Linked DNA regions of Oryzias latipes. The protein of the gene in region 1 interacts with the protein of each later gene in a pairwise test. Links are inferred from orthologs where the notes say so. Each region holds a gene or a part of one and is shown on either strand. Other genes may lie near its edges.

Evidence for each region.
Region 2: the proteins of suv39h1 (region 1) and cbx5 interact in binary tests that used the Homo sapiens proteins (3 or more experiments, as listed by UniProt). The link is inferred for Oryzias latipes from reciprocal best matches to the Homo sapiens genes SUV39H1 and CBX5.

Annotation. Positions count from the first base shown.
Region 1 is NC_019865.2:30,910,335-30,926,530, forward strand, and holds suv39h1 (histone-lysine N-methyltransferase SUV39H1), read right to left. Parts: upstream 12,262-16,196; 5' UTR 12,179-12,261; coding exon 12,160-12,178; intron 12,117-12,159; exon of another isoform or gene 12,059-12,116; intron 9,133-12,058; coding exon 8,987-9,132; intron 7,680-8,986; coding exon 7,017-7,679; intron 5,178-7,016; coding exon 5,031-5,177; intron 4,796-5,030; coding exon 4,666-4,795; intron 2,416-4,665; coding exon 2,282-2,415; 3' UTR 1,001-2,281; downstream 1-1,000. Other genes in the region: protein-serine O-palmitoleoyltransferase porcupine, read left to right, coding at 15,111-15,246. UniProt on the Homo sapiens protein: Histone methyltransferase that specifically trimethylates 'Lys-9' of histone H3 using monomethylated H3 'Lys-9' as substrate. Also weakly methylates histone H1 (in vitro).
Region 2 is NC_019865.2:12,830,755-12,847,459, reverse strand, and holds cbx5 (chromobox protein homolog 5), read left to right. Parts: upstream 1-9,215; 5' UTR 9,216-9,777; intron 9,778-10,259; 5' UTR 10,260-10,313; coding exon 10,314-10,444; intron 10,445-10,666; coding exon 10,667-10,904; intron 10,905-12,679; coding exon 12,680-12,780; intron 12,781-13,519; coding exon 13,520-13,661; 3' UTR 13,662-15,429; downstream 15,430-16,705. Other genes in the region: nfe2 (transcription factor NF-E2 45 kDa subunit), read left to right, coding at 3,051-3,098, 3,193-3,330, 4,245-5,474; heterogeneous nuclear ribonucleoprotein A1, read right to left, coding at 6,889-6,947, 7,034-7,153, 7,238-7,357, 7,437-7,490, 7,577-7,726, 7,810-8,020, 8,088-8,234, 8,305-8,421 and 1 more. UniProt on the Homo sapiens protein: Component of heterochromatin that recognizes and binds histone H3 tails methylated at 'Lys-9' (H3K9me), leading to epigenetic repression. In contrast, it is excluded from chromatin when 'Tyr-41' of histone H3 is phosphorylated (H3Y41ph).

The DNA.
Region 1 (16,196 bases):
CTCTACATCTACAAAGACCTGATGCAGATCCTTCTGACCTTCTCTGTTCTTCTCCAGAAACACCCTCAAAGCAAATATTTCATCTGCGGCTCTCCGTCTCTGCACGAAACCGAACTTTTGCTCAAAAGATTTTCACCTTTTGACGTCAGTCTAGCTTCCTCTACTCTTTCCCATAATTCCTTGTGTCTCTTGTGTTTTATTCCTCTGTTGTTTCCAAAACCCTCAAAGAGCTTCTGCTCCTACACACATTGGAAGAACACAAAAGTCTTTACTATGGATGTACCAGACTGAGAGAGTAATGAGGAATTTATTGTTTATTTCTTCAAACCTTAAAAAAAAGGACATACTTAAAAATTATGAGTTTCTGTTCTGGGCACTTACTAACTCTGATGTTCAACTAAACATTTCAGACATCTATATGAACTCTGTAGGAAAAAAAGGATTATTTTCCCTTTAATGAAGCAGATAAATGCTATCCATGTAGACGTTTTCCTTGTGATTGAACAGCACAGGCGTCAGCTGGTTGTCTTCTCACTGCAGGAACAGGACGGTGCAGAAGCTGCTTTTCTGCTTCTGTGTGGCCTCCTTCAGTTTTTATGAAGCAAATGGTGCAGAGGTGTAGCGGTCAGCACTGCCACCTCACATAGAAAAGGTGCTGGTTCAATCCCTAGCTGGGTTTTTTTCTCCCTGTGGAGTGTTCATGTTCTCCTCGTGCATGTGGGGGTGTTCTCCAGGAACTCCAGTCCAGAAACATGCTTCATAGAATCTAAACTGCCCCTTGATGTGCCCGTAGGTGTGGGTGTGTGTGTGTGTGTGTGTGTGTGTGTGTGTGTGTGTGTGTGAGTGTGTGTGCATGAGTATATAGAAACTACAAAAACAGCAACGGGTTTTATGGCGTCTATGTTCCATTGGCAGAAAGAGTGCCAAAAGTCTAACATGGTGGAGCGGACTACGCTCACAGAACTCAGTACAGATAAAAGGGGAGGCAGTAAACAACAAATAACAGAATAGCTCATTATTGAGTATCCAAACGGAGCAAACTAAAGCAATGAACACAAAAACTTTTGGTTTGGTTCACTTTCATCATTTACACACATGAAGAACTGTTTTTTGAGGAATGAACCGCAATAACGACAAAATCCAAATGACCACTTCGGCCTTTTGAACACATTCTCGCCAGTGCACTGTAGAACCTCATCGACTACGACACTTAAACTAACATTCTAAAAGCAAGACGAGTTCATGAGGTAATACTCAGAGAAGTCAACAGCCCTGTTTAGTTTGTTTTCAACCATCAACATTACAAAATAAAACACTTCAAAACTATAAACAGCTTGTAATTTAGTTGTTCTTGTTCCAAAAATATCAGATCTTCTAAAGGGAACTAACCTGAAGCCAAATGAATCTAAGTGAAAAGGTAGCTCCCGTCCACACTGTTTTCACAGGTTTGCGTCCGTCTGTCCTTATAAGAGCACAACGGTCAACTCAATGACAGGAGACAGACAGCAGGGAAAAGCTGAAGAAAAAGAAAGTGAAACTGAGACACCCTGCATTAGATGGATTGGGTCTCCATAGGGATCTAGACAGGGCGTTCTCCAGTTTGAAGTGCTGTTTGAATCTAAATTCCTGACAGGAAGACTGCTTTGTTTGTCAAGGCATCAGAAGAACAGGCTCCTTTCAGTCTGGCTTCTGTTGCTTTCAGACTCAGGTTTTATTCAAATGTGACTTTACCATCAAATCCCCAAATCCCCCAGTTGAAACAGAAACATGGACTAAAGAACAGCCAGGAGGCTGCAGAACAGCAGTTAGAAAGAATCGTTTTGCCACTTGATCATCCAGACTCCAGAGGCCTCATGCGGACCACAGACAGCTGCTTTGGTAATCGGCTGACAAAGAGTTAGGATTCAAAGTTGAAATATTTGGCCTTCAGGACCCATGAGGACACACCCCGGGACATCAGGCGTGACATTCACACAATGATGGAGAGAGAAAAACTGACATGACCTCGATCAACAGCAAGAATTCATAGAGAAGTTGAGGTTTGATTCCGGCGAATGTTCCATCTGGCAGGTTCTCTGGGTGTCGTCACACAGTGTAAATGTCAGAATGAGTGAAGTGAGGCTCTGACTCAGCACCTCTGAGTCATGGAAAATGCTGATTCTTTTTCTTCTTGCTTATAAAAAAACATGTTTAAAATCTTGACACTTTCTCACGGTCGCATATAAAAATTCATGAAAGGAATCTGTACAGTTTCCAGCATATCAACACAGAATTCCTGCAGTCAGAAGAGGTACTTCCGACAGAGTTCGGAGCCACACCGACACTCAACCCGGACCCTCTTCTTTGGCGAGCCGGGGAGCCCAGCCAGGCTGAAACTGGAGTCCATTTTGGTGCTCTCTGTGTCCACTGGATCAACTGGAAGTATCAGAAAAGGACAGCCCCAGTCAAACACAGCATCTGCATCTCTTTAGTTTCACAGCCAATGGCTGTCATTTCTTGATGGACTTGAGAGCTTTGTTGTAAAAGTGCATACACACAAATGACTAAAAGGTGCAGAAGAAGGATGGTAAATGACGTCTACTAATATAGCGCTTTTCTACCTTCTTCAAGGCCCAAAGTGCTTTACAGTCACAGTCCCATTCCCCCATTTACACACATTCACACACTGGTGGGGGCTCCACTGCCCAACACTGGCACCAATCTTTCACCACAGGCAAGGTGGGGTTCAGTGTCTTGCCCATGGACACTTTGACTCATGAGCGTACAAAGCGGGAATCGAACCTGCAATCTTATGATCATGGGTCGACCGCCCTACCGCTGTCCCGTGGAGTCTCTCAGCCTTCTATTAAACTCTGCATGGAGCACAGCGAGGTTTTTTATGATTAAAAAGTATCGATATGTACTTCAAAACAAAAACTACACACTTTTTTACAAAGGTTTATCTTGTTCATGTTTTAGATTTTGGCCCCCTGGGCGATGGAGTTTGACACCCCTGCTGTAGAGTGAGAGAACACTGAAACACATGTTGTGTTAGACATGTCAGTCCCTGCTGATCATATCCCTGTGTGCTGCATGGACTGAATGATAGAGAACTGTAGTTTTTGGACCAAAAGGAAACAGCAGAAAATATTTTTGGGAAAAACTCCCCCCCTCAGGAGGAATACCAGTTCTCTTAAAGGTTTCGTTAAGAAAGTCTCTTGGATAAAAGGCGGAGCGTGGTCAATTTAAAAAACTGCAGATGACCATCCTCAATAAATGCAAAAAGGAAAACATACTTCTCGGCAAGTTCATGTGGTTTGTATAGTTTGACATGATAAAATCCTAGTCTGGACGAGGTTAGCTTCATCAATCTGTTCATCCATCCATCTTTTCATCCATCCATCCATCTGTTCATCCATCCATCCATCCATCCATCCATCTGGTCCTCCATCCATCCATCCATCATCCATCCATCTGTTCATCCGTCCATCCATCTGTTCATCCATCCGTCCATCTGTTCATCCATCCATCCGTCCATCCATCAATCTGGTCCTCCATCCATCCTTCCATCATCCATCCATCTGTTCATCCATCCATCCGTCCATCCATCTGTTCATCCATCCGTCCATCTGTTCATCCATCCATCCATCCATCCATCCATCCATCTGTTCAACCATCCATCATCCATCCATCAATCTGGTCCTCCATCCATCCATCATCCATCCATCTGTTCATCCGTCCATCCGTCCATCCATCTGTTCATCCATCCGTCCATCTGTTCATCCATCCATCCGTCCATCCATCAATCTGGTCCTCCATCCATCCATCCATCCGTCCATCCATCTGTTCATCCGTCCATCCGTCCATCCATCTGTTCATCCGTCCATCCATCTGTTCATCCATCCATCCGTCCATCCATCTGTTCATCCATCCGTCCATCTGTTCATCCATCAATCTGTTCATCCATCCATCCGTCCATCCATCTGTTCATCCATCCATCCTTCCATCATCCATCCATCTGTTCATCCGTCCATCCGTCCATCCATCAATCTGGTCCTCCATCCATCCATCCATCTGTTCATCCATCCATCCGTCCATCCATCAATCTGGTCCTCCACCTATCCTTCCATCATCCATCCATCCATCCATCTGTTCATCCATCCATCCATAAGGCTTGCAGGCTTTGCCGAAGCCCATTGCAGTGAACTCTGGGTAAAGTGGGTTACACTCTTTAAAGATTGATGTTTTGAGGCTGACTAAGCTTGTGTCTGAATTCCCGCCCTAACCCCTATAACTAACTACTTTACTTTTTTTTTTCTCTAAACGGCATATATGACGTCATCGACAATTATTTATGAATCCACTGTCTTCTGAAGATAAAAACTTTGATGGTTTGTTAAAAAAATACATTTAAATACATTTTTGAGGCAAAAATCTTTCCAACGCAATGCATTGTGGTCTATATTCGCCGATCTAGTGAGCATTGATGCACACTGGTTTTTTGCAGAGACTTCTGGGAAATTTCTAGGGCACTGGATCTGGGAATTATAGATTAATGTAGCACTAAAAAATGGCAAACGCACTTTATAGTGCACTATATTTAAAGGGGTTAGGGAGGGAATTCGAACATAGCATAAGGCATAATAAAGGAGCATTAACAGTGCAGAGCAGTCATCATGAACTCACTTTGCATCTTGTAGTCGAAGGTAAGCTCCTCCCCTGCCCGGATAGATCGCGTTGAGAACAGAGCGATTCTGGGGAGCCTCTCATCAATGTTGTCAATGAACACATTGAAGACCTGCAGGTTAGGGTTACACTGAAAAGACAACATTTATCAAATCAGAGCTGATCGCTGTTCCTACTGACAGTCCAACATCCAACAAGTAAAGAAGAATGTATATACTTGATAAACACTAGGTAAAACTTTTCAGTTGCTTCTAGATCCACCTTCATTTTCTGCCCCACAATCGATTACTACCGATTACTACTTTAGCTACTCTGAAGGTTGTGTCTTGATAACCTGTGGGGATCAGGTGACTGCAGACACTCACACTGTGGTTGACAAAGTGGGAGATATTTCCTTGGTGAGCAGCATCCACTGTGTACACATCTTCTACATAGTCGAGGTCAAACAGGTAGGTGGAGCCCTGGCGGTCGTATAAATGGCCCCTCTTCTCTGCTTCATCTGTTGTAATTATCTGTAGGGGGCAAATAGAACACTCGAAATCAAATCCATTCACAAATCGTTTATTCTGACTCTCACAGTTGAAGTTTCTCCATAATGAACATTCCAGAGCAAAGTTGTTTCCAGTATTTTGGTTTTAGGAAAACGAAAACTGAAGCTATGTTTTCAGATTACTGTATACATAAATCTACCCACAAATCATTGCGCAGCTGATCAGAACAGTTGTCACTTTGTGCTAACAGCAAACAGCAGAAAAGAAGCCCACAGGACCCTCCAGCCCCCCTGTCATGTTCTACATCCTGAGAGGGAGTTGCTCCCTTCACGACGCAGACTTGACGACTGCGCAGACTTGACGACTGCGCAGACTTGACTGCACAGTATACGATACTTTCTGCTATTGATAGTTTACTGTGCAGCGGTTTGCTCGTCTTTGTTTTTCAAGGATTTATGGTATTATTTTTTAATGTTTCTATCCAATGTTCGGTTTTCATAAGCTACCAGTTCAGACGAGGAATACAAAGACGTTCATGGATCTATTTGTCTGACAGTGGATGATCAGAATGGACTGGAGCTGGGAGACTTTGGCTCATCCATTGTAGCTTCTAGGTTGGAACTGAGAGCTTTTTCTAACGGCGTTTTTTCCTCTGCTCCTCATCCATCACGATTTGAATAAAGAAATAATCAGAAATGCAGTTTTGTTCTGAACTTTTTTTCTATATGTCCTCCCTCATCAGAAAAATGCTACAAGAACATGCTAACAACAGGGTTTTCATTGAAGTGGGTCTTTGCAAAAGTGTAAATAAAATGTCATTAATAAAGTCTATTTGTTGCATCCAAGCTCCTTCTCAGTTCTGTACAGGCTCACAGCAACAGAGGAAATGTGAAACAGCTGTCGTGCTAGTGTATCTTTCCTTTTTTATTCAAAGTATTTTCATTCACAGGTAAATGCGGCTAACCATGTGATGAAATTGCATATTTTTTATCTTTACAGCTGAGTCTTATTTCCTCTAGGTTGTGCTGACTTCAGGTTTTACCTCCATTTTTGTCTATGAGCAGTTTCTGAGCACATGAGATCAAGTTAGAAGTTAGTCCAGTTTTTTCAAAGCTTCCAGAAAGCTGAATCATTCATTCTGCAGAAAAAACATTTAACGGCCTTTGTCATCTTTGTCAGAGCCTAGGGGGACACAGACAAGCCCAGAGACTTTCAAAATAAAGGTACAAATTAACCGCCGGTCAACATTAAATATCCCAGATATCAAAGTTTGTTTTTCCTTTTCAGGATGGTTAAAGTAAGGAGTGAACTTCATGTAAATATAAGCTGATTACATTTAAATTCAACACTTGATTCAAAAGAATCTGGGCTGAAAGTGCTGTTTTTATATTTTAAAAGTATTTTTTATCAAAATTGCTGAATTATGCAACCGGCTGCCGTGGTGCAGTGGTGCAGTGGTGGGGCGGTCAACCCCAATCAGAAGATTGCAGGTTCGACTCCAAGTGTCCTTGATCAAGACACTGAACCCCACCTTCCCTTTGGTGGAAGGCTGGCGCCAGTGCTCGGCAGCAGAGCCGCCATCCGTGTGTGAATGTGTGTGTGACTGGGTGAACGGGACTGTGACTGTAAAGAACTTTGGGCCCTCGAGGACGGTAGAAAAGCGCAATATAAGTCTACACCATTTAGCATAAACTGCAATAAAAAACGGTTGATTGTAAAACCGATTACTATTTGAATTCAGAATTAAACTAACTGGTAAATGATCAAATCCAGATCCAATAGGACCGTGTTTCTGAAGGTTTTAAGCCTTTTTTTTTGTTTTGAAGGCAGAAACAAAAATGAGTAAAAAACATGTCTCACCTCTCCAACATACTCCATAACAAAGGTGTTCTTCTTGATGCCCTGCAGCGTGCGCACGCCCCATCCCCGGCCGTCCTCGGTCTTAAAGATGCACAGGTCAAACTGAATGCCCTTCTGGACCACTCTGTTGGGACAGTCAGGTCCGCAGCTGCACCGGGAGTTACATTCATAAATGGGCTTTCCTGGCCTGATCCGGACCTGGCCGCGATCGTTGTAGGCCATGCGGTGCAGGGAGGCTCCTGGACAACAGCCGTTCACTGGATCTTCCAGGCAGTTTTTACAGTCACAACCTACAGCCATCTCATTCAACACAATGCCAGGGCCGACTTTGTAGTTGTTAATGTAGGTGAAGTTCTTTGGAGGGCCCTCTAGGTCCACATCATTTGTGACAAAAATGCGACCGGGGTGGTTGCGAGTGTCATTCAGATGGTCCTGCCAGCGCTGGAGACTCTGACGGAGTTTGGCTTTCTGAATGAGGAACAAGGCGACCTCTTTATCTAACTTTTTGGGTATGGCACGCCTCTTTTGACTCTTGAGCACCAGGTCCAGGTCCAGGTGGAACTGCTTTATCAGCTTTGAGCATTTGAGGTTCCTCTTGGGTTCCCAGGTGTTGTCAGACTCAGGGAAGCCCTTCCACTTCACCAAGTAGAACTCCTCTTCCTCCTAAAAGACAGCAGCTTTGACTCACAGCATTTCTAAATTCTGATGCTTATTATATAAGAGTAAAATTCTATAGTTTTTCCCTGTTGAACTACATTTTAAAGCCGTTTATTTTACAATCGAGCAAATTGTCATGTTTTCCATTTCTGTTTTTAACCATTCAACAACAGAGGTGTTGCCGCCAGAGCCTAAATAACACACACACACCTTGAACTACCATAACCCTTTGACCATCGACGCAATCAGCATGAATCTGCCGATATTGACATGGAGAAAAGCGGCTTCTCCCCAGTGTGGTCCGTAACATCGCAAAGATGCTCTTCTACATCTCAGGAATAAACGGTTGAATAGTTCCGGTAGTTGAAAGAATGTTTAAAAAAGTACAAAAGGATAAGTAACCAGTAGTTTCTTGTTAAAAGTACCCTTAGGGTAAGCACTGATGAATATAATTTAAAGCCTAACCCAAAGTTTTCTGCAGAAATTACACTGAGCCTACAACAGGGTGGTAATTATTTTTCGAATATGCAGGTTAAGGGTTAGCAGTAATGTTACAATCCATGAATAGGCCCATCTTCTGGTCCCACTGAATCCCTTTCATAGCCACAGGGCTGCTGGAGCCTATCCCAGCTACAGTTAAGTGAAGGTGGGATAAACCGATTGGCTGTATATGAGAACTGGACTGAGTGAGCCAAAGAGGTCACTGTTTTTGAGTGTTCAGCTTTTGAGTGTTCCAAACAGGAAATACCTGCTGCCTTCAAAAGCCAAAATCCCATAGACTTATATAGAGAAATAAACAGCCGTTACTCAATCATTCTATTGGTCATAAAAACCATTCCTAATCTTATACCCTTTTTTTTGTCTTTTTGATAATTCCTTTTTTCCACATTTTTATGCAAGTTATGAACTGATCAATCAGATGCCACATTAAACGCATATGGCTTTTTTTTGATTGACAGATTCCCCAGAGCCGCTTTCAGTGGAAGGGGTGTGGTCTGGATTGGTGACAGTAGTTGCCATAGAAACGTTGACTCAGACCGAATCCGACCCATCACTGTTGTCTGGCTCCAACATGGCGGGTCTGTATCACGGAAAAATGGGGACTGAATTGGTTTCATTTTCCTGGAGCCAGAGGTAAGGCATCTCCTATGAGTGACGTCACAGCCGCTCGGTCCAGTTCTCGTATACAGTCGATGGGTAAACCCTAAACAGGTCGCCAGACTATAGCAGCGGGATCAGAAGACAGACCCATTTTTCTTCAGTTATTTCATGACCCAAACAAATTCTTCAACCTTAAAGTGGTAATGACATACCTTAGTCTTCTTGTAGTTGCAGAGAAACTCCACCTCATACTCGTTGACATTCGCTCTGCTCACTCCGAGCTCTTTGCAGTGCAGGGTCTCAGTGCGACACAAGGCTTCCAGCTCGCCATACGTCATCTTACAAGGCACGCTGCATCCTGACACACAGTCACATCAAACCACATGTTTTCAGTATGAAAAAATCCACTCCTAAAAGAAAGTTCTCTTCGTTAGCTGCGGTCAAACCATTTCTGACCGCAGAAATGAACAAAAACAAAAACCTTTCTTCTTCTAAAAGCAGTGTAAAAATGCTGGACAGCGTTCCTTAACATGTGATGTCAAACAGCATATTAACTATCTGACATGATGCACAGAACACGCCAGTATAAAGTCTCTACAACTGTTTACAATAAAAGAACAGATTTTGTTCAGTAATATTATCTATGAACCTTTTAAGAAAACGGGTCATCGGATTTTCTAGTTACATTACATGTTTGGGTCCTTTAGAGATTGCCTTTTAAAAATCTCATAACCCATGGATATAATTACTAAATATGGCTAAAAATGACCATATTGTTTTCTTAAACTAAAATCACTTTACCGCTGCATATATATCTCCCTTAGTATCATCAAACAGGATCTAAAAGCTTAAAACTCAGCCATTTTATTGACATTTTACTCCTATAGTGTTGTCTACCTTCCAGCACCTATTAAACATTTTTCAATAAACAGAAAACCGCAACAAAATATGAAAACATTTCCAAAACAGAGATCCCACAACTGAGTGACATTTCCTGTCTGTGGCAAGTTCTGAAAACATCAGCAGTACTGCAAAGATGATGAGCATCACTGTGGGTCTGTGACAGATGAGGACACACAAATGCAAACTTCTGTCTGCGCGATTGAAGTTGATAAGAAGCGCAGGCATTCAAAAAATGAAGAGGTACCACTTTCGCCATCAGGTCCAATAAACCAAGAGGAAGACAATAAAGAAATCCACGTGGAATCTCGTTGTTTTCCTGAACCACATGTCAGAAGATCTGTGTAAAAGTGTGTCATCAAAGACTTGAGCTGAAAGATGCATAATCTACAGCCACCATGCCTGCTTTGTGCTCAACTGTTTTGCACTGGGCCATTCTTGGTAAATCCAGAGTCATTTGTGAATCTTGCCATAGCCTTACAGTTGATCACAGAATACTGTATTCAGGAAGGACTGGACTTCTGAAGGTGCTTAGATTTTCATGCAATAACATGACATGTCCCAAGTAGGGATGCAACGATTTACTTTACCCACAAATCAGTTCAAAATGTGATTTTTAGATACCGGTTTTGTTCCAGTTTGATTTGTAGATTACAAAACAACAACAAAAATTTTTAATTGCTAACATGCAAGTAAGTATCAAGAAAAAGCCTTTCAGGTGGCTTATACTAAGCCTGGTGTAATCTAATAAAACCTTCTTAAATTTCACACGTGTTTCACATTTTTACTGTAAACAGGCAGTAGGGCTGCAAGCTGTCACTTCCTGCTCCCTTCAGTTTAATGGTGTAACACCAGGTTCAGTTTTTGATCAAGAATTGTGGCATCTCTAAGTCTGTGAAGCTTCACAGACATAAAACCTTACAGTTTCCATTCAGTCCTGCTGTTTCTAATGAGAGTAGACTCCATTATGTGGAAATATTCCCTGATAACTTCAGCCTTTAGTGACTAAGCTGTCGTCCTTCCTCCTTTTCTCTTTCACCTTGACTTTAGCAGCTATGAAGTGCTGTCAGTTGTCTGGATGGCCTACAGTAATGACACTATCTCTGCAGGAAATCAAACAGTCTGCTGAACATGTTTATGACTAATTCAGCTTCTGTATTCTGGAAACACATCTGAAACCCTTTTAGTGTAATATTAAGACTTACTTTTAAAAACAAGTCCTGAATACTGAATTACCTTTATTCCAACAGTAAATACAGTAAGCATGATCTTCTTCTTTCTCTTTCGGCTTTTCCCATCAGGGGTCGCCACAGCGAATCATCGTCCTCCACCTCACTCTATCATGGACGTCTTCTACCCTAACATTAGCCAACTTCATGTCCTCTGTTAAGACATCCAGATATCTCCTCTTTGGCCGTCCTCTTGCCCTCCTGCCAGGCAGCTCCATCTCCAACATCCTTCTACCAATATATCCACTATCCCTCCTCTGAACATGTCCAAACCATCTCAGTCTGGCTTCTCTGACTTTGTCCCTAACACAGGCAACGTGAGCCGTCCCTCTGATGTACTCGTTCCTTATCCTGTCTAACCTGGTCACTCCTAAGGAGAACCTCAACATCTTCATCTCCGCTACCTCCATCTCAGCCTCTTGTCTCTGTCTCACTGCTACCGTCTCTAACCCATAGAGCAAAGCTGGTCTCACCACTGTCTTGTACGCCTTTCCTTTGAGTCTTGCTGGCACTCTTCTGTCACACAACACTCCTGACACTTTCCTCCAACCGCTCCAACCTGCCTGCACTCGCCTGCTTACCATCATGCTTACCTAAATACAGTAAGCATGATCATGTTGTTTAATTAGGCAGACATGTATGACTCGTGATTTTCATGAAATAGTAGAGAATAATGACACAAGCTGCTCTCATTTTCATCTCATCACTTTGTCTTCCTGTTCAATGACTGATCAGATCTGCATTTAAGGATGAAGCCTCCAACTTGATACCGTCAGAACAGTCAAACCTAAACCAGAATCCCCGTGTTTGTTCAGTTTTCCAGGCAGAACGGTGGAGCTGGGATCGTCACAGAACAGCGGAAGCAAAAGGAAATCTAGCAGCAGCACAAACTATTTATCAAGCCTGGATGGATGGATGGATCATCATGCAGCCACCAGTGGCGCCCATCACGAATCTCGAACCACACAGCCCACCGCTGCACCCATCAACTGTCAATTCTGTGTGGCTGCTAAATTAACTTTAACTACATGTTAGATCGCACTTCTTATTACATGTTCTTCGTCACTGTTACCCATAAAGAGCTCGCGCACGGACAAGAGCTGGACAGAAGAACACCGTCATAACTACAAAAACACAAGTAACACATCCGGTAACCTGAGTATGGAAGAGCAGACTTTGGTGAAGTCGTTCGAATACACTACGACATCACTGAGACACGCGACAACAACAAAAACTAGAGTATTAACTTCTACTACCTGTCGAATTGTCCGCCATGTTTTTTGCAATACCGCCAAAATAGAAGCAAGTCTTCTGCGCAGGCGGGGTTTTTGGCCAGGCTGGCAGTATCGGCTGCTGATTGGACGAGCGTTTGCTGCCTTTCTCTCATTGGTTCTTCAGCCAGATGACAAGACGGGTGGTGATTGGCTCCTTCGAGACACAAATGCACTCCCTCCAATCCAATCAGCCGTCGATGGATCCCGCCGTAATATAAATGACGATCTTTGTGCCCTTTGTACATTAGGTACGCAGTCTTACTCCAGCAGAACTTTATTTGATCCTAAAGAACTCTACACTCATCGTGACACTGTGAAACAACTTCCACCCACTCATGAACAAGCAAATTAGCCAAAGACTCAACATGCACCTCAGATCACTGACAGCCAATAAACTATAAAAGCTCTTCACTGACCTAAACCTGAACTATAACTGCACTATTCCATCTTCTGCTTATCCAAAGAGGTCCTGAGGGCAGCTTGTAGAGACTCCCAGGACAGTGTGGGGGTGTACCGGGGTTACATTCTATTTCTTATCTTCTTTTTATTATGCATTTAATGGTTTCTATATATGCATGAATATTGTATTGCAGAAATATGTTTGATTCCTGTCCTCATAGCAGATAACATGTGCATGTTTTTGACTTTCTGACTCTGTTTTCTTTCTGTATTGGAATGTTTATGGAGCCACGACACCTAGAATGCAGACTAGACAAAAACACAGCAGTCTAATGACGTATTTTGTATGTTTTCATCTTCCCGTTACTGAATAATAGAAAAAGCCAGAGAGACAGAGAGAGCGGACAGCCACAGAACCTAACAGGTAGTGTTTCTGCACGTCTCCCCTTTTGAAGAAGGTTCAAAAATTCATGCAGACTCTTGTGTGTCTTTTCATTTCCCAACTGCACATTTCGTTTTTGGACTTCCTGAACCATCCGAACCTGCGAATGCCAAACGAGATGGCAACACTAGCCAAGAGGCATGGTCCTTCCAGCTGGACATCCCTGGAATACCCTCCCAGGCAGTTTTCCAGGAGGGATCTGAAAGAGATGAATGACCCTCCTGAACTCTGGATGTGGAGGAGCAGTGGCTGCTCCTGGATGGCCGAGCTACTTACCCTAAAAGAACCACAGCCACGCTGTGGAGGAAACTCCTCTCACCCGCTTGTGTCTTTGACCCCTTCATGCCTGCCTTCTTTCTAATTTCCGGAATATTAAAATGATTCTTCTGTGTGTTTTCCATTCAAGGTGATACTAAATTAAGTGGAGTCCTGGATTTAATGGTAAAGCCTATGTTGCGAACTAGTGACATAGGTTGATCTCTGCTCTATCGACTAAAGTTTAAATTATCATTATTGTTTTCCTATCTGGTTCCACTGAGCTGCTTGGGTCAGGAAGGTAAAATTTACATGACACTCATTTGGATTTCAACAGCAAATACAGTTGACCAATTTATTGACAAAACTTTTGTCTGCATGACATTTTAGTTTTGTGATGCTGTGACATAAAACAGACATGTCTTTCATTGAGTTTTGTTTCCTTCTTTTGGTTGTTTTTGAGGTTTTGAATTATTTTTTGTGCGATTATCAAGCTTTTTTTTCACGTTCTCTTCATGCTTTACCAGGTAACACCACGTTTCAGCTCTTAATTGCCACAATTGTTTGTGTTACTGATTTATTTCTCAGTGTATAAAATTCCATTACTGTAGCTGCTATATCTTTGATCCCTCTAAAGTCACTCTTCTGTTTAAACTGGTTTTGTTTTTCATTTGTAATTTGGTTTAAAGTCAGCTTAAAGTCCGATCATCTTTTGATCTATTGTCAAAGTGTTCCCAGTTGTCTTTTAATTATGATTATGATGTTTTAACCCAAATCAAAAAATCAGAGTTTTTTTCTAGGACATAGTTGGTGCAGAGTAGCAGGAGTTTATTAGAAATTCACCTCTGATTTGTGGGCGATACTTCCCCTCTCCATTGCTGAAAGCTCTCTGGTTATCTGCTCTCAGTCTGTACTGTCCTGTTCTGATCCAGATACCAGCTCAGACGAGGAAAACAAAGGATCTATTTGTCTATTTGCGGGTGAATGATCAGAATTGAGCAGAGCAGAGAGCTGCGGCCTGCTGATTGTAGTTCACGGAACAACTACAAGCTTTTTCCAACAGCTCTTTTTCACCTGATTCACACAATTTGAATAAAGAAAAACTCAGAAACGCAGTTTTGGTCTTGTTTTTCTTTATGCATGTCCCCCATCATGAGAAAAATGCCAGAAAAACATGTTAAAACACAATTTTCATTGGGGGTGGGTGTCTACCTGGGACAGAAATGCTTGTGTGTGGGGGGGTAGGACTGCAGCTGGGACACAAGGCGGCACTAAAGCGTCACGTGACTTTGCTGTTAGTGGAAAGAAATCCGAGGAACCGTGGAAAGGTTGTTTTCCCCGTTTAAAGTCTTGCTTTAGGTTAGAATTTCGAGCAAAGAATCCGCTTTTCTTTCTCTGTACGATTGACTCAGTCAGTTCTGTTTTTTTAAAGGTGGACTGGTTCTAAGGTTCTCCGAGGAATGTGGAACAACAATAACTAGTCTTCATCTGTGGGGGCAGCGTTGCCTGTCGATGATCCAGCAGAGAAGAAGAAGAAAGGATCGAGGGAAAAGAAAGCAGCGGCTCCTCTGTTGATTCTGCTCCTCCGGCTCAGGTTTGCACGTTTCTTCTCTCCTCTCAACTTCATTCATGAAAAACCAAACAAACTGCTGTCTGTTCACGTGAGATGCTGACGTCAGAGCGGGTTGCACGTGCGCCTGTGGTGGAACTAGCAGAAGTTGTTGATGCTCATAGGGCAGCTCAGAGGTTTTTAGGTGCTCTCTGCTGACAGACAGGACAGGTGAAGGTCTGCAGTCTGCAGCAGAGCTTCGTGATGGTTTGGTCTTTGTCTTTCAGGATGGACCTGTCCAGCAGGCTGCAGGTATGGCAGCAGCTGGCCCAGACCTGCGGCCTCAGCAGCATTGAACAAAGCCTTCAGCAGCTTTGGATGCTGCTGCTCCTCTGCCTCCTGTGCAGAGTCTGCTTCAGACTGGGTCAGCATCAGCAACTCACTTTGGATCAATAATCTACATCTGTGTCATTTTAACTGCTTTTAGGTAGCACATCTAAAAAGCTGAGGAGCATTCCTTCTTTCTTTGTTTGTAGATAAGAATTCTCCATATAATTTGATGTGTTTTAAAAAAAATTCAACAGATCAAAGTTCCTTTTAACTCATGAGTAGATAAAAAAAAGTATTAAAACCAGAAGGAGCTGCATTTCCCAGAAAAAATTCAGTGCTTAATGCTATATTGCTGAATGAAAATGAAACTTAAAGGGTAATAATTGGAAAAAATAAATAAATAAAAAGAAAGAAAGAAATGATCAAAGTTGACCATAAATAAAGTGAAAACAGCACAATAACAAAAAATATATTTTTGTGAAAAATGCGAGCGCCGGGTATCGAACCAGCGGCTTCTGCACCAAGGATTCCCCAGGTATATTAATGAAGGCAAAAATCTTGGAATAACTTGAGTTATTGGTCATAATTGGAAAAGCTGAACATTTGAATAGTTGAATGATTAAAATAGCTGAAAATTGTAGAATGAGTTAAGTGCCAAAAAATAAATGGAGCACATTTCAGTTAACTGATATGATGGGTAATTATAGTTGGTATGCTGTGAACGGCCCTGGAGCAAATGGAAAAGCTTTGAAATATATAAAGGGAAACCTTTGGGTTGCCAGGTCTGGAGGAGTATCACGGGAAAAAGCAGCATTCAAAGGAGAAGACAGTTGTCTTTCATTTAGTTTAAGATATGATGTATAATTACAAAGGTGGCTTTAAAACCTGCAAATGCCATTTTTAACAGGCTGCATCATTCCATGAAAATCCACAAAATACCGACTGCTGATTGGCTGTTTCTGATCATTGAAAGCAGAAATTACCTCCGTTAATTACATTTAGGATTTAACACAGATTGATTAATAATATTCATCTATTTTTCAA
Region 2 (16,705 bases), about 18 Mb from region 1:
TGCAGGTCAGCTTGTATTATGACATGGTCTTATGTGAGCTGGGGTCATTAAGCCTACGGGACTCAGCTGTCGGCTGTTGCAGGGCAGTGACTAACCTCTGCTTCTAAAGTAAAGTTGGTTAAGTGGCTGAGGTGCTTAAGATTTGAACTATGACAGACCGGGGAGATTCAGAGAAGCCATAAAGCAGAGATGTCAAAGACTAATTGAAGCAAGCGAACACATGGTGGGAATGTGGGCGTTGATCTGGGAACTGTGTCCAGAGTTAAAACCACTGTGGTTGCAGTAATAACAGGGTGTCTTTGGCTCGCTGTGGCAGGGGTTGAGTCAGGGGCTGGGTGCTAGGAACTTGGTTTGGGAAGTCCCTTCTTCTTATTCCTGTTAGACGTTCACCTTTCTTGACTTTGTCAGCTACTTTTCCATGTGTAGAAAATGCCAGAGAAAACATTTGGATAAATAAGACGTTATCACGTTGTCATGTTTCCGGAAATAGTTATGACTTTACCAAATTTAAAAAAAAGAACAGACGTTTGCACCTGTGTAAATATATGATGATATAAGGATATACAAAACATCGAGTTAAACAGAATCCCTTATAGAAGACATTGGTTTGCATTCATGTCAAAATCAAATTTTTGACATGTAAATTAACAAGAGGAAGAAGAGGTTGTGAAAAATTCGGTTTGGTTCCGTGCCTATTTGAGTACATTTAAAACTCTTTTAGTAAAATATACTTTAAATAAGCTTTATTTTTTTAGAAATATTCAATAAACAGATGGTTAAAAAGAATAGAAACTTAAAATTAATTTATTACAAAAAATTGACTGTACTTTATTAGTAAACCGTTTAAATCGGGTACCAACTGGTTGACTAGCAAGACACTTAGAAAATCTCATCTAATCCATTGTGGTCTTAATTTATCCCTGTTGAAAGTTGCAACTGTTATTTGTGATGCTATTGTGCTGAAAATAATGAATAAATATTTTATTAAATACATTTACTAAAACATTTGAACACATGCAGATTCCCTGTTTGGAGTTCCAGATCTGGACAAATCAAATTTTTTCTTTTTTCCTGGTGATGGATCTTAATGATCACTTGCTATGTAAGACACGCTCCCCTTCATTCTCCCCCTTCCTTCTCTTCCCTTGCAGTTGCTCTGCCAAATAGAAGAACAATGTGGTCTTTCTTACCTGTCGGAGGGTGTACATTCCATCCCTGCTAAACCAAGACTCAATCCTGCCTCAAAGCCACTTCTGCTTGAGCAGGGCCCTCACTGCCATGCTTGCTCTGACTCCAGGTGCTCCACATCACACTCTTTTGGAAGGACATTGTTCTGGCCGGTTCTAAGACAACCATTTGGCTCGCTTCTCTTTACGTTCTTTACGTTTCAGCGTTAAATCTCTTTTTTACCTGTTTTGTTTTTAGAAAACTGGAATCCAAATAATTTACAGTGTTTTGGGGGAATTTGTAAGCAGCTACCTTTTTCTCAGAGGAAAGACATTTTTTGTGGTGTGTGCCAGACTGTTGGTTTGTGGTTTGTAATGTGGGCAAAGGGGAAATTTGGAGGTTGGAGTGCAAGCTTAAGGATACAATAGTGTAAAAAAAAAAAAGAAAAAAAGATGGTGTGGGTGCTTTACAGGAAGGTTGCGTTTGTCTGCACAGAGCCATCCCATTTATGCTGGTGGCTGCAGAGAAGCCTAACAGGGAGAGACAGAGTTGAATAGGACTCAGAGCAAGAGGCCCTGAGCCTTGTACCCTCCTGTACTATGTTTGAACGGCTCTAACATTTTTACCTTGTATTTTTTCAAACCAAAAGGATCCTGCTGAACACCTGATTTTATTTTTAATTTTTACCTATCAACTGTTGAAGATGCGGAGATTCTTGCTCAGGTACGTTCTTCTCTATTAGTACTTTTGTGTTGACATTGCATACTTCTTCGGAAGACTGGTGACTGATGATGCTTTTAATAAGTTCCAGCACAAAAAACACACAGAGTTTCAGAAATGTTAAGCTAGAATTAAACCCTAATAACACATGAATAAATACATAAAAAAGCATGGTTTTGAATACATTTGATATGAAATAAATATAACTTATAACAACATACTCACCCAGTTTAAAAGGCGTACTCTTCAAAGTACATTTCAAGTATTTTGTAAAAGTATGTACTTCGTTTTGCCTGTACAAAAAATCTTTTTTAATAGTTTTAACAATTAATTTCAACACAATTTTATTGCAAATTGTGCTGATTAAACAATTCTTTTTTAAACATATGTTTAACAGAAAGTTTTAAAAATTGCCTTAAGCAATTCTAGAGCATACAAAATTTGAGGTTTTTTGAAAAAATATTTAATTGTCTACAAATATTAAAAAAAATGTATTCAGGGTCAGTGAAGCAGGTGTATGCGTGTTCTGATGCACAACTGCAGCCTTGCATGGCACTTTAATTTAGTTTTGAAACAAACATCTTTTATATTGCCAAGGTTATAAATAGGCAGCAGACGGCATGCATAATAGTCAGTATACTAGTGTGAGTGCACACTCACACATAATTACATTATTTGCCGATAAATGGGTTTTGAGACTCAAAAATAAAATAAAATTTCAACAAGAAGTGCACAATTTAACGTTTTGTGTCTGACTTTTTCCAAAGAACCTAAAACTTACGGACAACTAATGAACCAAAATTTCCCAAAGCGGTCATAAGTCCCCACTCTGTTCTTTCAGAGGACTCTGTTTTCCCCCAGATTGTCTTATCAGGGCTTGGCATAACTGCAGCCTGGAACAGCTGATGGGAGGAGTCATCTTAACTGAACTGATCCTTTTATGAGTTCCAAAAGAACTCCCAAACACCCAAAAAGTCACTAATGTAGCACCGGAAAATCAAGAGCTATGAAAGAGATTTGTATATGTGGAGAAAAGCTGTGAGTTACAGACTGACAGACATTGAAATTGTTTGTTAGATTTGTGTACTTTATGCAGAATAGTGAGTTATAGTTACAAGTTGTTCTGTTTCTCCAGGTTGATTGTTTGCTGCAGACTTCTCTGAATGTGTTCAACGGTCAATTATATTCTCCCTCTGAGGAGAAACTGTGACGTGAGTCTGCTTTGAAAACGGAAAAAAAAGATGCTCAACAGAATCCAGTCAAAAAATATAATAACAGTTGTTTTCTATTTTTACATTCACACAGGTAGTGGCTACTTCTGGCAGGCTATGTGGGGGGTTGTCCATTTCAGCTAATTTCCCTGGAGATAGGCCCAATGGACAGCCGCAGGACGCCGAAATGGATGTTGCTTGGCAGGAGTTGATGGCAATAACAGAGCTGCAGGTAACAATGATAGATAGACTGGGAGACCTCTGTTTTGATAAAATGTAAAACTATTTAATTTTTCATCATAAAACATTAGACTGCATAAGATTTTAAAAGGATTTCTATGTTGTTCAGATCACATGCAACAACAAAAAGTCACAAGTTAAATCCTATTGAAAAGATGCATAATTCTGTTCACATATTTAGAGCTGTAAAGGCAAGGCTGTACTTTTTGTTTCAATCCTTTTTTGTGTGTTTACGATAAAATTGATGACATAAAAAACTTCTGAAGGGATAATAAAACAAGACAGAGAACTTTGAACAGTGAATTGCTTATGGAATCTTTTTAGTGATTAAGTTGTATTCCACTTCAGAGATGGTTACAAACTGCTGATTTAGCACAAAACTAGATGTTCCCTTGTTAATATGAGGCAAAACATGTGTCAATGAGCACAAACCGCAGAGCTGAGGCAAAAAATGAAAAGACGCGTTGGTTGAAAGAGAAATTGACACTCAAATATTTATGGTAGCAAATAAAAACTGCCTTGTTTTTACGTTGTTGTACTCTGTCTATTTTAATGGCTTCTTCTAAGCTACACTAGAGTAAAGCAAGTCACAATAGTGTATTTGAGTGATGGCAGGATGAAGAAAATGTGAGAAGGGACATACTGGAAGTTGCTTCTGGCCCCCTGCGCTGCACAATAGCCATCTGTTAAAAAGTGAAACCAGATCACGTCTTTGGAAAACCTCTGTAAGCTGTGGGTGGCAGACTAAAAGAAGGGCAAATTCTGCTTAGTGATAAACCAAATGACGTGTGGGGAGAGAATATAATATCTTCTGCTTTTAACATATATCAATAAAATCAATAGCTATTTTAATTGTCCGCACTGTGGTTTTTCTCCATTATTCTTACCTGGATGTGTTTGTTGCAGGAGTTCGAAGTACCAACTGATGCCTCCTATGAAGCAACTCAGTACCAGACTACTGACCCCACAGGAGAATATGGCATGGCTCAGTCTCACTCTGAACCCCCTCCTGCAACTTGTGAGCTGAGCACTGCCAGGACGTATGCTGGATGTTACTCTGAAGAAGTGTCTCACTGCCATCCTCTGGGCGGCAGGGCAACATATGAAAACTCTCAGACTAGTCAGCGAATGATCTCCATGCCCGCTCAAACTCTGCCGTCTCCTGGAAACATGTTGGGGACAAGTCATGGACACAGGAGAACTAATGCCCGTCTTTCTCCGGGTTCAAGTCGACACATGCTTTGGACAGCACATGGCCAAAACATGCATGGCCGCATGGCTGATGGTCTGGAGTCAGAGGCTGGTCTTTCTTTGGGATCAAGTCCACCTTTGACATCTCCACTAAATCCAGTGGGTGCTGCACAAGGTTACCATAATGTAGAAATAAATGTGCCTTACAGTGATGTTAACTCAGGCAACATTAATGATCATACCAGGAGAGCACATATCAGTTATTCAATGGACTACCAAGGTCCAAATCACTCATATTTTGACTCAGGTGTAAATCCGTATTTTTCTTCTCAAAATTCCTCTCACTCCCAGCCATGTGCCACAACTCATTCAGCGAGACAGCAGCACAACACAGTTGCTTCATGTGAACGGTATAATGAATTAACCAGCAGGGGGAGCTCTCAGCATAAGTACTCAAAGCCACACACGGGCCTTTCCAGTTCTGCTCCACTTAGCAGGGATGAGCGGAGGGCCATGGCTTTGAAAATTCCCTTCCCTTTGGATAAAATTATCAATCTACAAGTGGATGATTTCAACGAGCTGCTGACTCAGTATACTCTGACCGACACTCAACTTGCACTGGTCAGAGACATCAGACGGAGGGGAAAGAACAAGGTGGCAGCTCAGAACTGCAGGAAGAGGAAGCTGGAGAGCATCATTCATCTGGAAAGAGAACTGAACCAGCTGCAGGTGCAAAGAGAACACCTCACACAGGAAAGGCTAGAGTTCCAGCGCAGCCTGGGCTTTGTCAAGTGCCGTCTGAGAGACCTTTATGCAGAAGTGTTTTCTCACTTGCGAGACGAAGATGGACAACCTTACTCAATAGATGAGTATTCTCTCCAGCAAACACCCGATGGGAAAATTTATTTGGTACCTCATACGATGGAAGCAAGAGATCAGTGCTGAATATAAGGACTCGTCTGTGCTTTGGAAGTGTTTTTACTTTTCGTGCCAATCTCAGTTTGTGGTTAAACTAAGTTTACGGTGACACACAAGACCAATGTTTATAATAAAAAACACACAAAGTGTTGATAAAATATTTTATTTAAAAAAAGAATAAAAAAGTAAAAATCAAACTGCACAGCAGTTTTAAGCACTGTAAAAAAAAATTTAAAAAGAATACTTCAGCGTTAGCACGACAGTTCAGCTAACCTGTGGAAGAAAATAATCTTTGTTCAATAAATATTGCCACAAACCAACCAGCAGATTCACTTTCTTGTACCTGGGCCATTCTCACAGAAATGATGTTTTTGTAGTGCTGGATACCGCTGGAAATCACCTGAAATGCAAAACAAAATAAAAGTATAAGGCATTGCTCAAAGGTAACCTGTATTGACTGCATGCAAATTACAGTGGACCTCTTTGCACTGCAAGAGATCAATTTTTGATCAAGTGGTATTTTTTTTAGCCATGTCATTACTGGGCTACAAAACTCACTACCAGCTTAAAAGGCAAAAAGAGAAAACACCATCAGTAGTTGAAAGTCTGGTCTTACCTACAGACAGCATTTAAGCCTTTTGGTAGCTGCTGCCTGCTAGCCTCAGGCTTCTGCTCTCACTCTCCCCTGCTTCAATGATCCTGGCGATGGCTTTGCTACTTCTCTCCCTTAGCTTGCTTCCATGGCTAGCCTCATAGACTTTGCATGTAAGCTAGCCTCCTCGAGATGATCTTTGCAGAATTCGAAGTTGTCTGAGCCAAGTCACGGCCTTTTTGAAGATAACATTTGCGCACCACTGGGAAATTGCCTTTTCCAGAGCTTGACAAAAAGTGGCCCTTTTCCCCGTTTAAGTGTCAACCCTCCCTTCACCCAGACCACTAAAGAGGCTAACGAGACTTTATAAAAAACTGAAAGGTGGTTTATTTCAGATTGAGTTGATGCAGTTACAAATAAAAACCAGACTTAAAGATAAACATAAAACCCTCATTGGAATGCTTGCTTTCCAAAAAAAACACATATGATGAAAGAAAAACAGAAGACAAATTTTAAATGAAGGCCCTCCATGATTTATCTACTGTACATCTCTTCTTGTAGCAGCTGTAACCTGCCACAACTGTTTGGCTGAGCAGATTTAGGAGGTAAACCTGCAGCTGCCCTGTCACTTCGCTTGCTCTCCTCTCCTTGCTCTCCTCTCCTAAGTACTCAGTCCTGTTGAACAATATGGAACAACATTGTTAACTGTGCACTGTCTTCATAAGTCCTGACATCCAGAGTGAATTCGTTTAAAGTTAGCTACACTTAATCATTCCCTAAAATGATAAACTCTGGTTTTACGACATGTAACAGCAAGTTTATGTCTACAGAAGCTTACCCCTTAGAAACTTAAAATCGTCCAGGACGGCCATAGCCACCGCCATTGTTTGATCCACCGCCATATCCACCTGGAAGACAGAAAAACAATCAACACACAAGGTGAGGGTTAAAATACTTCTGTGTTGGTGTGTTTTCACCAAATCCAAATACCCACCGAAGTTTCTGCCTCCTCCTCCACCACCACCACCAAAGTTGTTCTTCATTGGACCAAAGTTGGAAGCCTGCGGGTCATAGTGACCCATGTTGTTGTAGTTATTGCCACTGCCACAGTTTCCTTGAAAATGGTAGATAAAAATGATTAGTGACAACCTCATCCTAAAAAAGGGGGGGGTGGAGGGACGGGGTTGTTGTTGCTCACCATAACCATTGCTATCATAACCATTTCCACCATATCCTCCACCACCTTGGTTGTAGCCCTGGTTGTACCCACGGTTGCCACTGTTATAGCCCCCAGGACCACCGGGCCCACCTCCATAACCTGCATCAAACAACCTTAAGTCTTCAGATGTTCGTAAATTAAAAATAAAAAAACAATTTATCTAGTATGCTGCACTTACCGCCATCGCCTCCGTTGCCGTTGTAAGGACCATCTCCATATCTGCCCCGTCCACCTTAAAATAAGAAGAAAACCCAAAACTTGTTATGGCTGTCTTACAGACCCAATGATTTAAAAAAAAAATACTACAACCCACATTACCTTGGTTAAAGCCTCTGTCGTAGTCATAGGGTCTTCCACTCCCACTGCTGCGGCCACCTCTCATTCCCATTCCAGCAGTCTGCATTTCCTGTTTGGTCAGGGCTTTCCTCACCTCACAGTTGTGGGAATTGATTGTGTGGTATTTCTGGACTATGAATAAAAAGGCATGTTTCAATTTTTATGAAAATCTTACAGGGCTTTCCCATTCTAGATCAGATACCACTAGTACTCACTGACAATCCTGTCAACAGAATCGTGATCGTCGAAGGTGACAAAGGCAAAGCCCCTCTTCTTTCCAGTGTTCCGATCAGTCATGATATCAATGACTTCAATTTTGCCAAACTGTTGGAAGTAATCCCTCAGGTGGGACTCTTCTGTGTCTTCTTTGATCCCTCCAACAAAGATCTTTTTCACTGTAATATGAGCGCCTGGACGATTTGAATCCTGCACACCAAAACATTTGTTATACTTTGAACAAGAAATCAGATTTACGTCTAGTCATATAATATACCTCTCTAGAAACTGCTCGTTTGGGTTCCACCACCCGTCCGTCAACCTTGTGTGGACGGGCGGACATGGCTGCATCAACTTCTTGGACAGAGGAGTAGGTCACAAAGCCAAAACCCCGGGATCTCTTGCTGTTTGGATCCCTCATCACCTAAAAATGAAATACTTTAAAGCCAATTCAATTTGGATGATAGCAATCACATCTTGTGAAAATGACTCACAACACAGTCTGTCAGGGTACCCCATTGCTCAAAGTGAGCTCTGAGGCTCTCGTCTGTTGTCTCAAAGCTCAGGCCTCCAATGAAGAGCTTGCGAAGCTGCTCTGGCTCACGTGGGACCTAAACAATAGATGAAGACGTCAACAAGAGGTTGCCGCAAGTTCAAACACTATGAGTTAAAAACACATTTTTGAAAACGAAAGTCCACTCATTGACTTTCGTCTCTATTTCCAGAACATATCCAGCGTCAAAAACAACAACAGCAGGAGGGTTGGGTGGTGCAGACATCGCCGCCATTAGCGATCAACGATTGCAGATTGTTCGACTTTTTGCAAAAATATGTTCGCCTAAGGTTGTTAATATTGCGGTTAATCGAAATAACGATAACCAGTGACTCATATTAATATCATTCGATTCATTTCGTTTACCTGTAACCAACAATAGGCCACGAGGCCCAGTTGTTACAAAATGGCGGCATAAGGAAAAGAAAGCTTCTGCAGCGAAGACGGGCTGTTTCGACCGAGACAACGTGCCCAAATCTAAACCATTGAAGCCATTTGACGAAACTGGACCAGCTAAATAATTTGAATCGTTCAGAATACAAAGACTTACATCTTTCGACATCTTGCTGTATTTTGTCGGAAACTCCTAGTGACACAACAACCACGCAGCGATCTGCGCCAGACAAGATCAGGCAGCAGTCAAACGCTAGGATAAAATGGGGAAAGGAACGCCCCCTTTTTACACAGTCATTGGTCAGTTGTTCCCGCTGTAGTATTTCCTCAGAGAAAGGTGAGTTTTGATTGGCTTACGTCCTATCAATCATTCAATTAATCCAATCCCCGAGCAGGATAATGCAGTGTGTAAAAACGGAGGAGGAATGGGAGAAAACAGGATGCTTTCGCAGACATAGTGACATTTTATCTGAATAAAAATGAAATGATAGATTGGGGCCAATAAACCGCATCAATTTGGATCACCATCATAACATTAAACTAGATTAGTTTTGAATGGTCGTACAGCTACTTTTTTTATCTAAACAAAATAAAAAGTATAAAGAAAGAATTACACAAATTTTAAAGGACACAACACACACTTTTGTTATTACATTTTTAGCTATTTAATTAATAGTTTGGAGCTTTGTTTATATGTAAGGCATTATGTTTCTTTGTCAGCGTACATTAAACGTCTAATAACAAAACATATAATTTTACACATTACTATTACAGTAAGTAAATACCATGGATTGAGACCCTTGCTGCTAACCTGCCTGGTTTCTTGGTTATCAGCTGACCGGGAGGCGGGTTCATTCATTGTGTGCTTTTAACGCGCGCTTTTTCCGCTCAGCACCTTTATGTGATTTAAGCTACATGCTAACGTAGCTCCGGTAGACTGGTAGACTGATAGCTGCTGCACAAAAGACGCAAGATAACGCTGCAAAAAACGCACTAAAACTGACGGCCCGATCATCCTAAAGTAATCGCACTGTTAATTTATCGATATTGTGTTTTTACTTTAAATAACGATTCGTGATTTGAACTGTAAAAGTGGCAAGTTAGCTTGGGGTTCGCTTACATGCTATCTTGTCTAGCTTCTAGTACCGTTAGCAGAGCTCAGTTCGTCGTGCCCCATGCTTGTTTTGTTTTCTTACCTGTTGTAATCTTAGGGCTATCTTCGTTAAAAGAACAAGTGTTATGTGAAATACTTGCAGATGTGATTTTTATTCGTATAATAATTTAGTTGCTGTTATGCTCGAGTGTGTTATGCACGACAATTTCTGTGTTAGCGTCGATCAAATGCTAACGCGTATATTATCATATCTTCTTTTCTGATTCAAAGTATATCCTTTTTTTAATTATCTATTTACGTCTGATCTGTGCGTATTAACGCATCTGGAAATACTGTGCCAAGATGATCGGTTGTTATTTAAACTTTGGCTTCTCTTCTTTTGGATCAAGGAAGTGCTAACGGCCTGTGTGTGTGACAGCGTGCTATAAATACCAAACTTTGCAATGGGCAAGAAGTCTCGCGAAGAGAAATCCTCATCGTCTGACGAAGAAGAATATGTCGTGGAAAAGGTGCTGGACAGGAGAGTCGTGAAAGGCAGAGTTGAATTCTTCCTAAAGTGGAAAGGATACTCAGAGTAAGTAAAAAACAAAAAACGCCAATCTGTTAGCAATTCTATTGTAATTGCAATAATACAATATTACTTAAACCGCATAAAGACGTGCAATGTAATGTTAAGGGTTATGTAGCTGTGTGCACCGCGGTTTTAATGTTTTTATTTTGGGTGTGTTTTCTCTTTGTTTGTTACTATTGTGATTATGCAACTGTCTTGAGTTACTTGGATGGTTTTCCTTTACAGGAAGCACAACACCTGGGAGCCGGAGAAGAACTTGGATTGCCCTGAGCTTATTGCAGAATTCATGAAAACCTACAAAAAACCAGGCAGTGGGAGTGCCACACCTAGCACTGGTTCCAGCAAAGTCAACACAGGATCATCGGGTCGCTCCAAAGAATCCGGGAGCTTAAAGAAAAAAGGTTCAGATGATGAGGAGGAGGAAGACGAAGAGGGTGGAAGTAAACCTAAAAAGAAGAAAGAGGTGAGATTTATGTATATGCAATGTTTGGATTCACTGTTTTCTAGGCTGTCAAGATAAATGAGGAAAAATGAGTTTTTGTTGTTTTTCCCCTTTATAATAAAGTTTAGTTTGTTTGTTAGGATGTTACTGTACTTTATGCAAGGTTCTTAGAATTTATCTATTTTATTTTTTCCAGATCTACATTTAAATAACGAAATGTTAATAAGCAAGGGAGAGATATTTACAACAGTACATGTCAATTCTTTATCTTTCGTTTCCCTAGTTTCTTTTAGACCAGGGATGTCAAACTTGATGGCACAGGATGGGCAAAAATCCAAAACCCACTTTAGGTCGCTGACAATAACACTGTACTTTATAAACTTTTAAAACTTCTTTTCAACATAAATATGACAAATATATTTCTTTTAACAGTAAATGTTAAAAGAAAAAAAAACATTCAGTTTTCTTTACTATTGAATGACTTTATAAAAAACTTACATTTTGCTCATCTGTGAGACATCATCTGCGTGCTGTTTTATTAGTCTTCATCACTGAGAAGAGCTTCTCACACAGAAAGGTGCTACCAAACACGCACAAGGGTGAAACTGCTTTTCTGCAGGAATGGCGTTCATAACCTGTGCAGGTCCTGCAGTGTCGTACTTTGCCTTCAGTGTGCTTTCACTCTGCAGCTCACTCTGCTCCATCTGAATCTGTACAGGGGCAGTTTCAACATAGACGGCAAATGGTTTGTGAAGCAACTCAAAAATTCATTTTTGTTATTCATAATCACCAAAGGGCCGGTCGAACTTGATGCGCTCAGTTTATCAGCAAAGTACGGATTTGATGTTTTGCCTCATAGTGCTGTCTAAAGATTAAATTCCTTGAATACAGCCACATTAGCTCCACAAATGAGACGCATAAATTTATCAACAATGTCAGTAAACATATTCTGCCTCCCATCAGTTTGAAAAGCCCATTTCCAGGATTAACTTTTCACTTTTGCACCGACAGAGGGCCAGCTTCACTATCACTTGCAGCATCATAAACTAGACTTCATTGACGTGGGAAGTGTTCGGCAAGGCAGCTGAAGCGCTGCATTGTGGGATCTGTAGTTGAATTTTACCAGCGCTTCATATCGCCATGCCGTAATTACCAATAATATAAAACGATCATGCTAACCGAATATAATTGCATGCCGGGCTGCATGCGGCCCGTGGCCTTTAAGTTTGAAACACACGTTTTAGACATATAATTATTTATTTTTAGAAGATACAATTGTTGATATGTGCCAGTACACTTCACCATTGAGAAATCCACATGTCTTGATCTCGCATCCTGTTTTTGTGGCGTCCTGAAAATTACAAAAGGTCAATAAGTCAGGCGATCAACTAGTTGATGTGCATGTCAACATGCTCAATCTGTCTGTATGTGTTCAGTGCTTTACTTCTGTCATTTTGCACCTTGTACAAATAATCAGCCTTTTCAGCACAATTCTACATACAATCCAATAAAAGTAATATTTGGGGGGCTAAAAGAAACTAAAATCAATTAGACATGGATTAAAAAATTGTTTATAATACATAAACCAATAAGACATATTGAAAATGATTACCGCAAAAACAAGCAAAGTATTAATCTGTTTATACACAGAAGGAATTTCAATAAAATATCTGACGGCATTTGTCCAGTAGAGCAGTAAAGTGTAAATATGAGGTTAAAGCACAGAATCAAAAGACAAAAACAAACAGTTTTAAACATTTCCTCAGGTTTGAACTTTTTTTCTTTGTTTCTTACAGGAGGAAATTCTAGTAGCCCGTGGCTTTGAAAGAGGACTTGAGCCAGAGAAAATCATTGGAGCCACTGATTCATGCGGAGACTTAATGTTCCTCATGAAATGGTAAGTTTTGTTGTTGGGATGATGATGATTATGATGATCTGGTGTGAAATTGCTGCTCCGCTAGGTGCAATCACCACAGACTGTTTTACTGTTGACTGCAACATGGAAGGGAATGACTCTTAAAAAAAAAAGGCTTTTGACTGTGTCGGTTAACTGGGCAAATCACCCATTAGAAACTTCAGTAACCGGGCTGTCTGTCCATAGATGAACAGGAAGCCAAACCATAAAATTAATGTTATCTCTTATTACCTAGATGGATATACGCAGTGCACCATCACTCATGCCTGGTTCTGGACTCATATTTGAGTTGCAGACTTGATACTTTTACTTTGAATAAATTTACAAATCCATAAAAATAATCATGAATTTAGAATTGTTCTCATTTGCTATGATTTATAGAAAATTCTCTGTGATCAGTTTTAATCCTAGAGCGAAAGAACAAATAAAAACACCTGTGATGAAGTCTGACTATACCTTTGTTGCACCAGATGAAAAGTTTGTCTTGCCAACTTACCCATTTTATTTGGTTTTATGATAGAACACTTGATGCTGTCTCAATACATGGTTAAATTGCAGTGTAAATGAACCTCTTAGAAATATAACAGTGAAATGCCATTTCACAGAGACTAGGATAGAGTGCAACCGCCTACAGCTTGTTTATGAAATCCCACAATGCCTTATTTGGACTTAAGTTAGTGAAGTGTGGTGCAAAAATATTTCAAGCTTTACCCTCTTTTAGGAAAGATTCAGACGAGGCGGATCTTGTTCTTGCCAAGGAGGCCAATCATAAGTGTCCACAAATCGTCATAGCCTTCTACGAGGAGCGCCTCACCTGGCACGAAGACGGTGACAAGAAGGAGAAGGATGCTGTCAGTGCTTGAGTGCAACACCTCTGGAGGAAACCTCCACTGCAGGGAAAACATTCTGTTGGACTTTTTGTTTTCCTTCTCCCAAACTTCCATCCCTCACTTTGTCCAACAGTGAAACAAAAACAGTGCATCCCTTTTGTTGTTTTCTCCACTCATGCCTCATTGAGCACAAGGGCCCAGACTCTGTAAAGGATCCATCAAATAGAAAGCTGTTTGTTAGTGGACCTGGGTGATATGCTACTGGGCAATGTTTCTACTGTTTTTGTATTGATTTTTTTTTTTTTTGTAATATCTTAACATTTTTGTCTTTATCTTTTCCCTGTTTTTTAAAGTGCTTGCATAAAAATGTTACTAGGAAGAAATCTGGAGAAACTATTACTGGTGGCCATCTGTTAAAGTTGCAAATCCAGACCCAAGTACCAGATTTGACGGTTTAGGGGGGAATTCCCGATCCCCATCATTGTGTTGTAAACAGTGCACATCTTTTCTTTGACAGGAAAATGTTGAAGCTATTCACTTATCTTTCTTTTTTTACCCCTTTAGGCAGCAGATATCACACCTGATTCATTTTTAAACGTGTTTAATAATCGTTTTCCCCACTGTTTCTATTTTTTTTTTTTTTTTTAATATTTGTAACCGGTAATTTTTAACAGGGCCACTCTCACCAAACGCTCAAACATGTGCGATCATTTGATCATGACGTCTACTCTGCCATCAATTCTCTTTGTTGTAGTTTAATATTTTTGTTTCAGATTAAGGTAAGAAAAAAATCCTAAATATTTGTCCCAATGAGTAGATGTTGATCTGATGTTCAGGATTCCATTGATCATTCATCTTCCTGAAGCATTCATCTGTTTCATGTTTTGACATCCATCACCATAACATGCTTCAAAAGGGACATGATCACCTTCATGAAATTTAAATGTAAAAACTATGATAATTGTGAAAGCTGAATTAATGACATGGCAGCTGGATTGGCCTGCAGTTGAGAAGACTGGTGCACCTGTTTAGTCATGTAGGTGCACGTCTGTGTAGTGATGTATATTGGTTTTAATTTGTGCTGTTTCGTCAAATGATTGTTTTGCGGTTTTTTTCTTTCTGTTTTTTTTGACAGTGTTGCCAGAAGAAGAAAAAATACAATAAAGACATTTTTTTCTCCATTCTGTACTTTTAATCATATCCCAATCATTGTTTGAATGATTTTTTTTTTTTTTACTTTTAATTTGCATGAATTGTGTGATCTTGCGCCCTTTCAAAATAAAATTCAGCTAGCATTCAAAGGAGAAACTTAGCTGCCACTTTGATAACTGAAATTAATACTGTGGTCAACAATAAAGACTAGATTTATTTATTTGCATTTCTTTTTCCATGCTCCCCCTGCTAAAAAGCTTCAGTAGTTTTAATGAATTACAAAAAATATTGTTTGAATAGCTCCTTATCACCTGTTCATTAGTTTGAATTTTAAGGTGACTAACCCTGATAAATACATGGTTTGTTGTTGAAGATTGAAACTGGTTTTGCAGCCTGCAGAGAAGCATTGGACCAAATGTCTGCAGATTCACAGACTGCTTGTTTTTAACTGATAAGAAATGCTGTCATCTTCCTTTTGATACTACCCATACATTTCCTTGCCAGCACATTTTTTAATGTAAATATGGGTTTTATTTACCTTTTGACAATATACATTTTTTAAAGTCAGTAGTTTATTGTGTGAGAGAAATGTTCCAAGTATACATGTATAGTAGCATCCTTTAATAAACATTTTGAGTGTTTCAAGGTCTTCATGTGTTCACTTCGTTTTACAGTATAAATTACATTTTTCATAACATTACCCTGCAAACTGACAAAAATATATATATATACTTTATAGATTTAATGCAATTTTAGAATCACACATCAAAAACCTATTTACTGCCGTTTGTCAGCAGAGGGCAGTATTAACCAATTCCAACGCAAAAGTGTTTTTTTTTTTCTTCAGGTTCCAGTAGAATCATTGTGTGCAAAATGTGTACAATTTTTCTGTGAAACTTTTTATGGGCACATTTTGTGTTCTGACATTCACATGTTGCATGCAAACACGGCGCACACCCTGTAAAACATGTACAACTTAACACTGAAAGGCAGCCTTTCTTCTAAGGCGGCAAAGGAATCAGTGAGGAAACATGTCAAATTGGACAGCTAAGGTTTTGCCATTGATTTAATGCACATTATAGAAATAGTACAAAATCCACTTTAGATTTTTAAAATTAGAAAATGGCAATCCTTAATGACTAACTTCCCCGTAAAGTGAATTCCAGTCATGTTTAAAATAATAATAAAAATGCTCTTAAAATAATATGTTTTGAGTCTTTTTTTGTCTTTGATTTTTTTCGCTTTGGTGGTGCCTTTTAGACCCTCTGCTTGACACACATACACACACACATCTGCAAAGTGCTGCTGGGTTACGTTGAAAATGATGGAATTTTCCTCACAAAAGAGCTTTTACTCTGCAAATGGAATGCAAAGGTCAGTAGTAAATATCCAGCCCCTGGGACCATTAAGCTGGGTGAAAGGAGGGGAGCAGCGAGCTGTTGTATCCAGCCTGGAGCTCTCCACTGACAAACGCAGGCCAGTGGGTTTGGATGGGAAACCACTGCGGTGCTCATTGGAGCTCAGCCAAAGCCATGTGTGGCAAGCACAGATGTAGACTCATTCCTGGTATGTTATCTGTGGGAATACAGAGCGAAGCATCACTGGGGTTAAAGCTCTGAAGAAAATGTGGTTTGTGCAGATAGAGAGGAATGTGCTGTACCTGGGAAGAATCAACTGGGAGCAGTTGGTGGCACGTTTACCTGGGAGGTGTTGGCTTTTCAGAACAGAGTCGATTCATTGCATTGCGGTTTCACTGGTTATTTTCTTAGACACTTGTGTTGGAAATAGTTGTCTCAGTGGTGATTATGTGTTGCTGTAAATGTATTTAGTTATTTGCAACAATCAAAAGTCAGAAAAGAAAATTCCCCTTTACCTGTACCTTCTTGTACAAATTAGTTCCTTGGGGTATTACGCACAGCAGAGGT